Linked DNA regions of Diceros bicornis minor. The protein of the gene in region 1 interacts with the protein of each later gene in a pairwise test. Links are inferred from orthologs where the notes say so. Each region holds a gene or a part of one and is shown on either strand. Other genes may lie near its edges.

Region 1 (6,958 bases):
CACCCTCATCTCTCTCTATCCCTGCCCTGTTTTATGTTTCTTCCTAGAACTTAGCACTCCTGACTAATTATGTATTTATATGGTTGCTTGTGCACTGGAGTGTGAGCTCCATGAGAACAGGGACTTGGTTTTGTTCACTTATGTATCCAGGACCTGGGCTGGTGCCTGGCACACAGTAGGGCTGCAAAATTAATTGTTGATGGAGAGAGACACCATGAAATCACGAAGTGTCTGATGGGGTCGGGCACAGGAACCTGGACTTCAACCGTGAGGCAATGGAGAGCAAGGAGTTCTTTTTAATTAGTTTCATTGTTGCCTTCATTTAAAATATGTATTTATGTGCAATAAAATTAGTCCTTTTTGGTGCACAGTATTACGACTTTTGACAAATGAATACAGCCATGTAACCAACCTGACAGTCAACATATAGAACAGTTCTATCATCACCCCCAAATTCCCTTGTTACCCCACTCCCAGCCCCTGGCAACACTTGATCTGTTTTCTCTTCTTATAGTTTCACCTTTTTGAGAATCATCCAGAAGGTGGCCTCTTGGGTCTGGCTTCTCTTACTCAGCACAGTGGATTCGAGATTCATTCACGGTGGGATATCAATAGCTCATTCCATTTTTGTGTGTGCGTGTGTGAAGAAGATCAGCCCTGAGCTAACATCCATGCTAATCCTCCTCTTTTTGCTGAGGAAGACCAGCTCTGAGCTAACATCTATTGCCAATCCTCCTCCTTTTTTCCCCAAAGCCCCAGTAGATAGTTGTGTGTCATAGCTGCACATCCTTCTAGTTGCTGTATGTGGGACGCCGCCTCAGCATGGCTGGAGAAGCGGTGCGTCGCTACGCGCCTGGGATCTGAACCTGGGCGGCCAGTAGCAGAGCGTGCGCACTTAACCACTAAGCCACGGGGCCGGCCCCCTCATTCCTTTTTATGGCTATGTGGTATTCTGTTGTATGGACAGACCATGGTATGTTTATCCATTCCCCAGGTGAAGCACATTTCGGTTGTTTCCAGTTTTTGGTGATTATGAATAAATCTGCTATAAATGTTCATGTACAATTTTTTGTTAAAAAGTTGAGATATAGTTCTCGTACTATAAAACTCACCCTTTAAAGTGCATGATTCAGTGGCATCTAGTACATTCACAGAATTGTGCAACCATCACCACTATCTCGTTCCACAACATTCCATCACCCCAAAGAAACCCCCTCCTCGGCAGCAGCCGCTCCCCCTCCCCCTCTCCCCTGCTTTCTGTCTCTCTGGATTTGCCTATGCTGGACACTTCATATAAATGGAATCATACAATATGTGGTCTTTTGTGTTTGGCTTCTTTCACTCAGCATGATGTTTTCAAGGTTCATCCATATTGTGGCATGTGTCAGAGCTTCATTGCTTTTTATGGTTGAGTAATATTCCATTATATTAACATACTACAATTTCATTATCCATTCATCCACTGATGGATATTTGGGTTATTTCTACTTTTTGGCTATTATGGATAATGCTACTATGAACATTTATGCATAAGTTTTAATGTGGACATATATTTTCAATTCTCTTGGGTATATACATAGGCGTGAAAATTACTGAGTCATGTGGTAACGCTATGTTTAGCTTTTTAAAGAACTGCCAAATTGTTTTCCAAAGAGCTGCACCATTTTTCATTCCCACAAGTAACGTATGAGGATTCTAATTTCTCCACATCCTCATCAACATTTGTTATTTTTTCTTTTTATTATAGCTACCCTAGTGGGTGTGAGGTGGTATCTTATTGCGGTTTTGATTTGCATTTCCCTAATGACTAATGATGTTGAGCATCTTTTCATGTGCTTATTGGCCATTTGTATATCTTCTTGGAGACATGTCTACTCAAATCCTTTACCTGCGTTGTTTTGTTTTAATAGACTTTATTTTTTGAGCAGTTTTAGGTTCACAGCAAAATCGAGGAAGGTACAGAGATTTCCCATCTATTCCCCTGCCGCCACACATGCACAGCCTCTCCCCTTATCAACATCCCCCACAGAGCGGTGCATTCATTATAGCTGATGAACCTATGCTGACACAGCATCATCATCCCAAGTCCACAGTTTACATTACTCTTTAGTCTTGGTGTTGTACATTCTGTGGGTTTGACAAATGTATAATGGCATATACCCATCATTATAGTCTCATACAGAGTAGTTTCACTGCCCTAGACATCCTCGTTGCTCCAACGATGCATCCCACTCTCCCTTAAGCTTCACCCATTTTTTACTTGGATTATTTATCTTTTTATTGTAGACTTGTAAGAGTTCTTTATAGATTCTGGAGACTAGCATCTTATCAGAAATCCATTCTGTGGGCATGTACAGGGTTTGGGTGCACATAGGTTTTCATTTCCCTGGGGTAAATATGCAGGAGTGGGACTGCTGAGTCATGTATGTTTAACTTTAAAAGAAACTGCCAACCCGTTTTCCAGAGCGGCTGTGCCATTCTGCAACACCACCAGCAATAGGAACAGTTCCAGTTGGTCCACGTCTTCGCCAACACTCTGTATCGTCAGTTCTTAAAGAAATCATCCTCAGGAACCCTTTAAAGCCTGATCATAGTCACATTTTACAGATGGCTTCACACACTTGGGCAGAGGATGGCAGCTGAGGCAGAGTCCAGAGGAGCCTGCTGAGAGGAACTGTGATGGTCCAGGCCAGGGAGAGGGAGAAGGGAAAGGGGAAGACAGAAGCGTAGTTCAAGGAGTTTGGAGTGTGGGGCTGGGAAAGTCTGAGCAGGAGAGGAAAGTGGAAAGAGGTGAGACTTGGAACAAGAAGGGCATGGTGGGCCGGCCTGGTGGCACAGCAGTTAAGTGCGTGCACTCTGCTGCGGTGGCCCAGAGTTCGGATTCTGGGCGCGCACCGACGCACCGCTTGTCAAGCCATGCTGTGATGGAGTCCCATATAAATTAGAGGAAGATGGGCGTGGATGTCAGCCCAGGGCCAGTCTTCCTCAACAAAAAGAGGAGGATTGGCAGATGTTAGCTCAGGGCTGATCTTCCTCCCTACCCCCCCCCCCCCAAAAAAAAAGAAGGGCATGGAACGCCAGGCTCAGGGTTTTTGAAACCAAGATGTTCTACCCAAGAGGATTCTGGGTCTCAATAAGGTTGCCACTTGCTATGTTGTATCTATGCCTTGAGGATGCATGGTGCACACTAGCATGTTAAAGGCTCTGACAAGTCCTGCAATAAAGAACTCTGGTGTTATTCAACCCACTGTTTCTCAAACTAAGCCCATGGCTCTCTTTTCTCCAGCCGTAACATCCTCCTCCTCCTCCTCCTCATCTCCAACGCACACCTCATCTAGCTTGTTCCTTATTATGCTCCCACAGCCTAGAATGGGCTTATAGCCAATGGCCAGTTTTTTTTTAATTGTATTAATTATCTCTTTAGATCTTGAGAACAACTCTATGAGATAGGTACTAATACAATTTCTGTCTCACAAATGAGGCTCAGAGAGGTCAGATGACTTGGCCACACAGCTAAGGCCACACAGCCTGTGGGTAGAGAACTGGAATTTGAGCTGGGACATGCTTGCAGCCTCTCCACCATCCTGCCCATCTCTGGAAGGCACCTCACATCCCCAGCGCCACACCCCCGGCCCCTATCTTAGTGGCAGATGTGGTCTCCCCACTGAGGGCTGCCCTGTGACCTCCTGCGGTCCTTTGTGCCCTGGTGGCTGTGGACATACTCGGGCTGTTGCTCAGAGAGCTCGGCTGTAACTTGAATCTCGCCTAGGCTGGGGGTGACCAGGTGGGTGGGCGGGTGACAGCCAGGGCAGAGAGGTTTGCCCAGACACTGGTGCGTGGCAGCCTGGCAACCCGTGTGGCCCTGATGCGACTGGGGGCTTCCAAAGCGTGTTCCAGGGCTGGCGGTGGTCCCCACATGGGCAACAAGCAGACAGTTTTCACTCAAGAGCAGCTGGAAGCATATCAGGTAGGGGTGAGGAGCCGGGCTCTTGTGGGTTTGGCAGCCTCGGTTTCCTGGCCTGAGAAATGGGGACAGCATCCCTTCCTCCGGGCGTGCAGTCAGGACGGTTCCCTGCGCAGCTCTGAGTGTGGCGTCAGGCGGAGGCGGGCGTGGGGCTGAGGGAGAGGACGGAGGCCCCCGAGGCAGGGCCGGGCCAAGCCAGCGTCTCTCTCCGCAGGACTGCACTTTCTTCACAAGGAAGGAGGTCATGAGGTCAGTCTGGAGGGGAGGGAAGAAGGTCTGGAAACAACTTTCCACACTAGCGGATTTGCAGTTTGACGGGGCCCGGCACCTCACAGCGGTTACAGCAGTACTGGGGGATTGCAGGCCGGGTCAGCGGACGGAGGCAGCGCCGGGGAGGCTGAGTCGTCCCTCTCACCATATTGCCGCACCCCCAGGCTGGGCTTGGGCTTTCCCTGGGGTGGCGGGGAGCCACGGAGAGTGTGAGAGCTGGGCAGAGACAGGTCAGCGTGTTAGAAAGGTGCCCCTGAGGCCAGTGTGAAGAGGTGGGAACTGGAGGCTGGGAGCCCGGGGCAGGGCCGGGAGCCAGCTCTGGGCTGTGGGGTCGGCATCAGGTGAGGGCGCCGGGAGGCGGCCTGAAGCTGCTGCAGTCCCTGGCGTGAGTGAGACAGGCATAGGTGGGTGTCCCACGTCATCGCTCGGCCCATGGAGCCATTGTCCGGAGGCCCCGACCCATGAACTTGGAGCCGTGAAACCCAAGCTGGCAGGGTTCGGCTGCAGAGTGATCGGGGCCAAGGCCCCAGTTGTGTGGGCATGGGACATCCATTATTGATGGGCACAGCTCTTAGCAGTGAGCCCCATTGTGTGGGGAGGACAGCTCACAGGGTCAGCCTGGCCCTCACGATCGGATTACTGATGGGGAAACTGAGGCTTGGACAGGGGCGGCTGCTTCCGGCTCTGCAGGCCGGCAGAGCCCCAAGAAGTTTCAGGGCTGACATTTCATCTGTCCCAAGCTTCTTACTGGTCAGGTCAACTAATTGAGGCTCGGAGGGGACGAGGGACATGTTCAAGGCCACGCAGAAACCCAAGCCCAGGCTGGGCCCTGAGGAGATGCTGACAGGGACTGGGTGAGCAGGACTGAAACTCCTGACACCTCTCCTCAAGTTCCTCGCCATCAAATGACCCAGGGACGCCCGACTCCTTCAGAGATGGTCCCTAGCAGCTTGGGGACCTCTGATTTCTCAAGATGATCTCTATAAGGCTGCTGCTCCGCGTGCCCCCAGTGAAGATAGGATGTCACCAGGTGAGGGCATTACAGTGGAGAGCTGGCCTCACAATCTAGGTAGTGTAGGTGGTATTTGGTGTTTTGCAAAATGTCTTTCGTTTGCCCTTAAAAAATCCCTGAATATTAGCCTTTGTCTCTGCTCTGCCCATTGAGGAAACCCTGCCTCCCACTATGGAGGGAGAGAAGGGAAGTGTGAAGATGGGTGTCTTTAGAAGCAGGGTCTTGCTGACAATGTGATGATGTCCAGAGATTCATAGATCAGCTCAGATTCTCTGAATGCTCCATGTGAAATGACCTCGCCTTAAGCACCCTCCCTTCTGTCATCCCCATCTGCCTGGTAAGCTCCTACCCAGGCTTCAAAGCCCAGCATTAATGCCCCTTCCTTCAGGAAGTCCTTCCTCCTCCCTGGCTTGCTTTCCCTAATCTAGTCTCCCCTAGCTCTGGGTCCCTCTCTCCACCTTGACCCTGTCCCTAGGGGGGTAGAAGTGCCTGTGTCTGGGTCTGTGCCTTTGAAAGCTGGGCCCAGGGCTGATGGCCCTTGGGGACCCAGCATCCTTCAGTATAGAGTGAGCTGCTGCGAGAGTGAGAGAGGAGGGACAAGTCCCCCGCTCCCGTCTCCCAGCTCTTCCTGCATTTCCCTCCCTATACCAGGCTCTTCTATCGCTACCAGGACCTGGCCCCCCAGCTTGTCCCTCTGGACTATACCAGCTGCCCCAATGTGAAGGTGCCCTACGAGCTCATCGGCAGCATGCCTGAGCTGAAGGTATGCCTGGGCCATGGGGCAGGCAGAGAAAAAATAGTAGGGATGCCCCTGCTGCATTCCTATGAGGTGGGTGCTGCAATTATTCCCATTTTACAGATGAAGAAACCGAGGTTCAGAGAGGTTGAGACACTTGTTCATGGCCACACAGCCAGGATAACAGAGATAGGATTCAAACCCTGGGTTGTCGGGAAGATGAGATGAGATAAAGCAGGTGAAGGGCTCAGCACAGGGCCTGTCGTTTTGCAAGTACTCAAGTAACGTTAGTTCTTCTTTTCATAGTAGGAGCTACTAAATACGGTTTCTCCTCAGCTGGATGTTTGACACATGGTTCGTGCCTTTGAAGGGAACTTGTGGGATGAGTGACTGTGAGTAGAGATTATTTTATCACAAGGGACAGAAGCCTCGTTCAAGAGGGACAGAATGGGTTGGATCACATGAGCAAAAAGTCCAGGGGCAGGTCTGGCTAACGTCAGGTACGGCTGGAACCGGGGTCTCTGAGGACGTGCTGTGAAATTTCCCTCTGTCGCTCAGCTCCTCCCAGGGAGAGGCTTCAGCCTTAGGCAGCCTGTCCTCTTGAGGTAGTGAAGGGGGGCCCCAGCACCCCAGCTTTCCTCCTGTCAGCTCTGCATTCAGAAGAAAGCAGGTCCTTCCACCTCAGTTTTGCAGAAAACATCCCAGGGCAGCCTCTGATTGGCCAGTTTGAGTCATACGCCCACCCCAGAGCCAATCACAGTTGCCAGGTGAACGGAAATCTCTGATTGGCCTCACCTGGGTCAAGTGGCTGCCTCTGGAGCTGGAAGCAAGGTCAACGCCCCCAGACCACGGGGGCAGAGTGTGGAGTTGCATGACATCCTCTCTAGGGTCCAGGGGAGCGAGGGGGTCTTGGCAGGGGTGCTTGGAGGTTCCCAGGGAGTAGGTGCTGAGAGTGAGACCATGTGGAGCCTGTGGG
Region 2 (7,525 bases), on another chromosome or scaffold:
TAATCATAATGCCCATCTTGTGGGGCCGATACGAGGATTAAATGAGCTAACACATGTCAAGGGCTCAGAACCGTGCCGGGTGCGCAATCCACGCTCAATAGATGTTAGAGATTAATATCTCACGCTGGCCTTGGCCCAGAGACAAAGCAGCACACACAGACTACAGACTTCCCAGGACTGGTTTTAATTTCAAAAAAACTGGTTGGGGTCCCTTCCCACATCAGGGAAGGAGTATTCCAGGCTATGACCTCTGGGGATTCAGTCCAGTACGGGGCCTGGTCCAATCACAGTCCAGCCGCCAGGCCCTGTCATTCTAGCATGAGGGCCATTCCCAGGCTCCCTCCATCAGCCCAAAACAAGAGGACGGAGGTGAAGCTACCCAGGACTAGATTCTCTCTCTCCAAAGCCCCTCTCTGTTCTAAGGGAGCCAGCTGTGTCTTTCCATGGAGAGTAGGTCCAGCCACCAGGCTCAATTTGGACACCAGACAACCATTCCAGCCCTGGGGGTCAGCGCCCCGGCCCCGGTGGCCGTTCCAGCGCCTGTGTGCCCACCAGCACGTCCATGAGGTAGTCCAGCTCAGCCTCGTCCAGCTCTGGAGCTTCCTCCTTGCCCGGCCCACCCTCAGGGCCAGGTTTAAGGCCCTCAGAGGTTGGCGCCCAGAGTTCGCTGTCGTACATGGAGGTATCGATGTCCTCAAACAGGCCCTCGAGCCCATCGTCCAGCAGACAGCCAGTGGCTGGGCCCAGCAGGTCCAAGGCCCCCAGGCCAGGTGGGGCTCCCCCAGTGGGGCGGCCCGGTGGCCCCTCGTCCGCCAGGGGCTGGGGGGCCTGGCTCAGGCCCTCGATATGGCTGAGGTCCTCTAGGAGGCTGGCCATGGAGGCTGAGAGGGCAGCGTCTGAGCTGGCCAGCAGGGGGTCAGCCACGCCGGGGGCTGCGGGGGGGCTGGGCACAGGTGGCAGGGCGGCTGTGGGTGCCATGGACGCCTGGATGCGCCGCAGCGTGTTCACGACCAGCACCAGGTGCCGCAGGTCCGGCTCGCTCTGCCGCAGGCTGTGGCGGAGCTTCAGCACCGAAAGGTCAAAGAGGGAACTAGAGGCCACGGCCGGGGGTGCCTGGGCCACTGCTGGGTGGCTGGGATCCAGCCACCAGGCGTCCACTGCCAGGGCTTCCTTCTCCTCCTCCTCCTCCTCCCGTTTGCGTTTCAGGCCCTTGCTCAGCATCATCTGCGGGGACAGAGGAGTCATTCTGTTATGGAAACCCAACGTTGAGTTCAAACCCTGTCTCTGAAGACTGCTGTCTGTGTCATCTTGGACAAATCACTTAACCTCTCTGAGCCTAGGCATGCTTTCTTAAAGCCTGAACCTTTAAGATATGAGTGATAATAGTATCTACTTCACAGAGTTGTTTTAAAGAGTAAATACACAAAAGGCACCTACAACAGTGCCTGGTACAGAGTAATTACTCCTATTAATAAGCAGTCTTAATAATAACTATTATTATTTATTTCTCCAATGAACTGTGTGAAATGTCCAATATTCAACCTTTCTTTTTTACCTACAAAAGTGCCTGTTTCACATAGTTTAATATTTATTGAGTGTCCACTATGCATCAGACAAACAAATAAACAAATACAGGAAATGTACAGATGGTGCTAGGAAGATACTAAAAGGTTCTGGGGGTGGTCAGGGAGTGCTCCTCTGAGGAGGTGACATTTGAGCTGAGCCCTCGAGTGTAAGGAGTCAGCTATGGAAGAACCAGGCGGAAAGCATTCAGGGAAGAGAGGACAACAGCAAAGGCAGAGAAAGCCCCAGAGGCCGGATGAGCTTGAACTGAAAAAAGACCAGTGTGGTTGGTGCACAGAGTGACATAGTGTGTGGGGGGTGGGGGTGGGGGGGGCTTGAGAGTAGACAGGAACAAGGCGTTTGGATTTTATTGTGAGTCTGGTGGGAAGTCATTGAAGGATTCTGAGTAGGGAGGAGAGTGGTGTTGTGAACCGATTAGGTTTCCGGAAGATCCTCTTGGCTGCTTCGAGGAAGATTGGGAGCGGGGGTGGGGTGGGGTGGGGGGGTGGCCCCGAGATCATTTTGGAGGCTACACAACTCTTGGGGGGGTGGGGGGAGATGATGCTGGTTTGGAGTGGAGAGTGGTGGTGGACACGGAAGGAAGTTGGTCGACTCAGGATTTATTTGGCAGGCAGAGTGGACAGAGCTGGCCGGAAAATCCTGGTGGGCCCGGGGATCACGGAGAGAAGTTTGAGGACCCACACTTTCCCCGCGGTGGAGGCCCCTGGAGTTCTGGACCCCTGGTCCAGCCTGCTTTTTTGAGCCATGCAGCCTGTAGGGTCCAGTCCCCCGGGGCCCTTGCCCAGCAGGACCTTAAGAGTGACCCCTCACACGATTCACACTGGGTCCTGGCCTCCTTGCCCGCAGACCCGGGAGTCCCGAACCGCAGGAATTCAGCCCCCACCCCCGACTCCGCCCCCCGGGCCCGGCGCCCCCTAGCGGCGCCATGCCGGCCTTCCCCCGGGGATTCCGGCCCCTCAGACCCCGGGACCCTAGACACTGCCCCGCGTCCTGGCTGTGGTGCCTGCCGCCCGGGGCCGTGCGGGCCGGGATCCCCGGTGGGCTGTTCTGCCCTCTCGGCCTCCGCTCGCTTCCGGAAGGCAGTGGAGGCAGCTCCTCCCGAAGCGGCGGCGGCGGGGGCGGGTGAGTCACGCAGCCGGAGCCAGGGAGCCGGCGCCTCCGCCCCCTTCCCCGGCTGCGGCGTGATTCACCCGGCCCGGCCGGAGCGGGCGGCACGTAGAGGCCCGCGCGTCTCAACGCCGGACAGCTCCGGCGCGCACCTGCCGGACCGGGGGCTCGAACTTGCCAAGGGGACCCCGCCGCCGGTAACCCTCTCCCCAGGCCCCTTTCCTTCATTTACATACCCAGTTCACCAGCTGCCAATCAGAACGAAGAGGGAGCCACCCGCAGCCAATCAGGAAGCGGCGGCGACAGCATCGCTCGCTCGCTCGCCTTCAGCAACCGGCGGCTGGGTCGCGAGACGCAGTTCTGACTCCGCCGCACGACTCCGGGCTCCTGACTCCCCTTAGCGGCCGCCCACTCCCGTGGCGGCCCCGCCCTCCACCAGGGATTGGCCCTGGACGGTGATGGGCGGAGCCTGTAGGGGGGCAGGTTCGAAGGGAGGGCGGTTGGCTTGAGGGCGCATGCGCGGGCGGCTGCGTGAGCGGAGGTGGGAAGACGGTGTGGGTATCTTCCCTGCGCGACAGTGGCGAGGAAGGGTTTTTGCCTCTCCAGGTGCGGGCCTCTCTCGTCTACCCATGCACCTGCCGAGCTCAGCAATTGAGCTTCTTACGCACCAAGCCCAACAGGGGTCTACACTCTAGACCAGATAGGCCTGGGTTCAAATTCTAACTCGTTCAAATTCTAATTCACACTGGATGTGTGACCTTGGAAAAATGCTTGACCTCTCTGAGCCACGGAAATTCAGTTACATGGAATCTTCTTGCCTACCTCTTGAGAGTGAGGAAAATTAAAGTAAGATCGTGTCTGTAAGAGCACTATATCAGACTCAGCAAATGCTGGGCAGTTGGATTCAGGTGTGGCTATAGACAGGTACGGGGCTGGGGGTGGGATGCCACGGGAGTCACTTCCTGGGCTCCATTCCCTAAGTAGCTGTGTGACCTTGGGCAAGTGTTTTAATCCCTTAGGCTCTCAGTTTCTTCGCCTTTAAAATGAGAGAAATAGTTTCTGGCTCAGAGGGTTGTTCTGAGGATTAAATAGAACAATTCGTGCAAAATGCTCAGAGGGGTATGCAACGTGTTCTTTTGTAAGTAGTAATAGCTGTTGTGGTAATTGCACAGGCGCTTAGCTCAAGGGGGGACACGCGGGGCGGGGTACGGGGAGACGGGAGTTTAATACTTGTCCGATAAACTGACAATGGGACTCACCTTCTTCAAGTGGCTCATTTTCTAACTCTTCTGGAGCTGTGGGAAGAACTGTTGTGAATAAAGCTCTTGGCTCAAGTAAGCTCTCAAAAATGCTACCTCTACTAGTTGATTCAGGCCACGATTATCAATGGATGCTCAAAACTTAACTGTGAAAGATAGTGGGGAACAGGATCTTGACAGGCTCCAGAGCATCACCCCACAGGTTTCTTGCTAACTGTAAAGGGGGAAATATCCTCTTCTGATGTGGAGATGTGGCACTCACCACCTTAACCACATAATGAAACTCTGCATCCACAATAGTGGGACACCCGGACACTGGGTGTCCCCTGATATGATGCATTAGGAAGTACACAACATTCTTTATGGAGTCTCTCTGTTATTTGCATAAGCTGAATCTCATCAAGCCTCTAGACCCAACCTCCAACTTAGAGGAAACAGAAAGTAACAAACACGAACTGAATCAGACAAATACAGATGTGGGAATATATACAGCACAACTGGGCTGTTGCCCCAAAAATTCAATTTCAAGAAAACACAAAAAGGGATTGGTGGGGCTTGGGTTGGGGGGGCGGATGTTCCAGAATAAAAGATACTATATAGGGCTGGCCAGGTGGCGCAGCGGTTAAAGTGTGCAAGCTCCGCTTCCCTGGCCCGGGGTTCGCTGGCTCTATCCCTTGCGCAAACCGACGCACTGCTTGTCAAGCTGTGCTGTGGCGGCGTCCCATATAAAGTGGAGGAAGATGGGCATGGATGTTAGCCCAGGGCCAATCTTCCTCAGCAAAAAAAAAAAAAAAAGAGGAGAATTGGCATTTGATGTTAGCTCAGGGCTGATCTTCCTCACACACACACAAAAAAGATACTATGTAATTTCTTTATTACAACCACATGTGCTTATAAACCTTCACTGGATCCTGATTTGGGGGGAAGAAAAACAGCTATAAAAGATATTCTTGGATCTGGCCTGTTGGCTATTGCTTAAGTTTTCACGCTTTGCTTCAGTGGCCTGGAGTTCACGGGTTTGGACCCTGGGCATAGACTTACACACTGCTCATCAAGCCATGCTGTGGTTGTGTCCCACATGCAAAATAGAGGAAGATTGGCACAGATGTTAGCTCAGCAATAATCTTCCTCAAGCAAAAAGAGGAAGATTGGCAACAGATGTTAGATCAGGGCCAATCTTCCTCACCAGAAAAAAAAAAAAGATATTCTTGGAAAAATTGGGGAAATTTGAATATAGATTGGATATTAGATGATATTAAGGAATTCTTAATTCTCTTAGATGTGAAATAGCATTGTGGTTTGTAGGTGAGTATCCTTAATATTATGGTGAGAGTCCTTAATCTTAAGAGATGCCTACCATTCTAGGGGTAGGGTTGAGAAGTCTGCAATTTACTCTCCAATGGTTCAGCAAAAGAAAAAATATACATATACAAATATGCAGATAAAGGAAACTTAAAATGTTAATAATTAAATCTAGGTGGGAAGGTATTCAAGTGCTCAGAATACATACTTTTTTTCATCTTTTCTCTGTGCTTGAAAATTTTCATACTAAAAAGAGAGTGAAGTGCTCATTAGAACCAGGCCCCCACTAGGTAAATTCACATAATTTCCCCACAACTTGTCGTTTTGGCCTGGGAGAAAGGAAGTTCAGAGTCTCCAAGTGGCTCTCTCCAAGTCATACACTAAAGAAGAGCTCATAGAAGTCACTCAAATAATGTGTATTTATTGAGTACACACTATGTGGTGAGCACTGTTGTACATAATGAGGGTACAGCCCTGGATAAGCCTCACCTGGGCTCTCTTCTCACAGATCAGGGGAGGGGGTGGAGAGAGAAAAAAAGATGAAAACAAATGCATTCATTGATTCGCAAACATTGATGGATTGAGCCTGTTCTGTGTCACACACTGTTCTAGGCACTGAAGATATGCCAGTAAAATTATACACAAAACTCCCCGATGTGAGGAGGTGCACGATAAACTTAACAAAGAAATTTTAGTATCTTAGAAGGTGACAAGTGCAAAGGAAAAGAATAAAGCAGAGCGGGAGGAGGGTAATGAAAGGGTGTGCAGTTTAAATAATAATCTTTTTTTTTTTTTTAAGATTGGCCGGGCGCTAACATCTGTTGCCAATCTTCCTCTCTTTTTTTTTTGTCTCCCCAAAGCCCCAGTACATTAGTCCTACATCATCGTTGTAGAGTTGTAGCTCTTCTATGTGGGACTCTGCCTCAGCATGGCTTGATGACCGGTGAGTAGGTTCGTGCTCAGGATACCAACCAGCGAACCCCAGGCCACTGAAGTGGAAGGAGTGAACTCAACAGCTGCGCCACTGCGCCAGCCCCGGGTGTGCAGTTCAGACAGGGTGCTGGTGGTGGTGGAGGGTTCGCTGAAGAGGTGACATTGAGTAGAGACCCGATGAAACGAGAGACGTGGGAAAGCTCTAGAGGAAGAGTGTTCCAGCCAGAGGGATGGGCTGTGCAAAGGTCCTGAGGTGGGCGTGTGCTTGTGTTCAGGTCCTTCGAGCGCTCTATGGACCGTTGTTTTTCATTCTGAATGGGATGAGAAGACCCCGGAAGATGAATAAATGAGGAAGAGCATTTCTGCTTCTGTTTAGTGACTTGAAGAAAATACAATAGGACGGGATAATAGAGAGGACTGGCGAGAGGTGCCTGGAGCCAGGGTGGTCTGGGAGAGCCTCCCCGAGGAGGTGGCATTGGAGCTGGGAGCAGAAAGCGGAGGAGGAGCCAGAATTCAAAGGGCTGGGGGAAGGGAGGAGGAGAGAGGCCGGGCCTTGGGAAATGAAACCAGAAGTGAAGCCACGGGGGCCTAGCAGGGCTGGGGAGGAGCCTCCGCCAGCTAGGGAGGGAGTGGGGTCAGGGCGAGCGCCCCGCCCCCGGCCGGCCGCCCCACCCGGCCTCTGGGGAGGGACGAGGCGCCGGGCCGGCTCCCGGGTGTCCAGCCGGCGGCCAGCTCAGGGGGAGGGTGGGCAGGTGGGAGGGACCAGCCTCCCGGCCACGCCCCGAGGTGGCCGCGGCCCATCCCCCACGGCGGGCCCGCGGGGGAGGGCAGGTTGGGGAACGTGGACTCTGCCCTTAGGGACCCGGTTCCCTCTGCCTGGCCAGCCTTTCCACTTCTCTCGCCAGTTCTTCAACAGGGCAGGAGCGGGGCCCCTCTGAGCCTCAGTTTGTTCATGGGGAAAGTGGGGTGCTCCTCATGCTGGTCTTGCTGTGGTAGCAACAAGCTACACGATCCCTCTTCCCTTGGTCATCTTTAGGGCAGTCTAAGAGGGTCTGTTTAAAAGTGAATCAGGTCTCGTCCCTCTGCTCAACGTCCTCCCATGGCTTCTATCTCACTCAGTGTAAAGGGACTCCACAAGACCCTGCATGATTTGGCCCCCTCAACTCTTTCACCTCATCTCCTAGTTCTCTCCTCTTTGCTCACTCTCATCCAGACACACAGGCCTTCTCATAGTCCCTCAAACACTCCACCCAGGCTGTGATCTCAGGGCCTTTGCACTGGCTGTTCCTTCTGCCTGGCTCGTCACCCCACAGAGTCACAGGGCCCACTTACCTCCTTCA

What was found. The genes of interacting proteins can lie anywhere in the genome.
Region 2: the proteins of CIB3 (region 1) and SERTAD1 interact in binary tests that used the Homo sapiens proteins (3 or more experiments, as listed by UniProt). The two-hybrid records come from large-scale screens. The link is inferred for Diceros bicornis minor from reciprocal best matches to the Homo sapiens genes CIB3 and SERTAD1.

Annotation. Positions count from the first base shown.
Region 1 is NC_080759.1:4,391,007-4,397,964, reverse strand, and holds the start of CIB3 (calcium and integrin-binding family member 3), read left to right. Parts: upstream 1-3,916; coding exon 3,917-3,967; intron 3,968-4,178; coding exon 4,179-4,213; intron 4,214-5,897; coding exon 5,898-6,009; intron 6,010-6,958. UniProt on the Homo sapiens protein: Acts a an auxiliary subunit of the sensory mechanoelectrical transduction (MET) channel in hair cells. Plays a role in regulating hair cell MET channel localization and function.
Region 2 is NC_080773.1:13,999,848-14,007,372, forward strand, and holds SERTAD1 (SERTA domain-containing protein 1), read right to left. Parts: upstream 3,036-7,525; 5' UTR 2,928-3,035; intron 1,225-2,927; coding exon 508-1,224; 3' UTR 169-507; downstream 1-168. UniProt on the Homo sapiens protein: Acts at E2F-responsive promoters as coregulator to integrate signals provided by PHD- and/or bromodomain-containing transcription factors. Stimulates E2F1/TFDP1 transcriptional activity.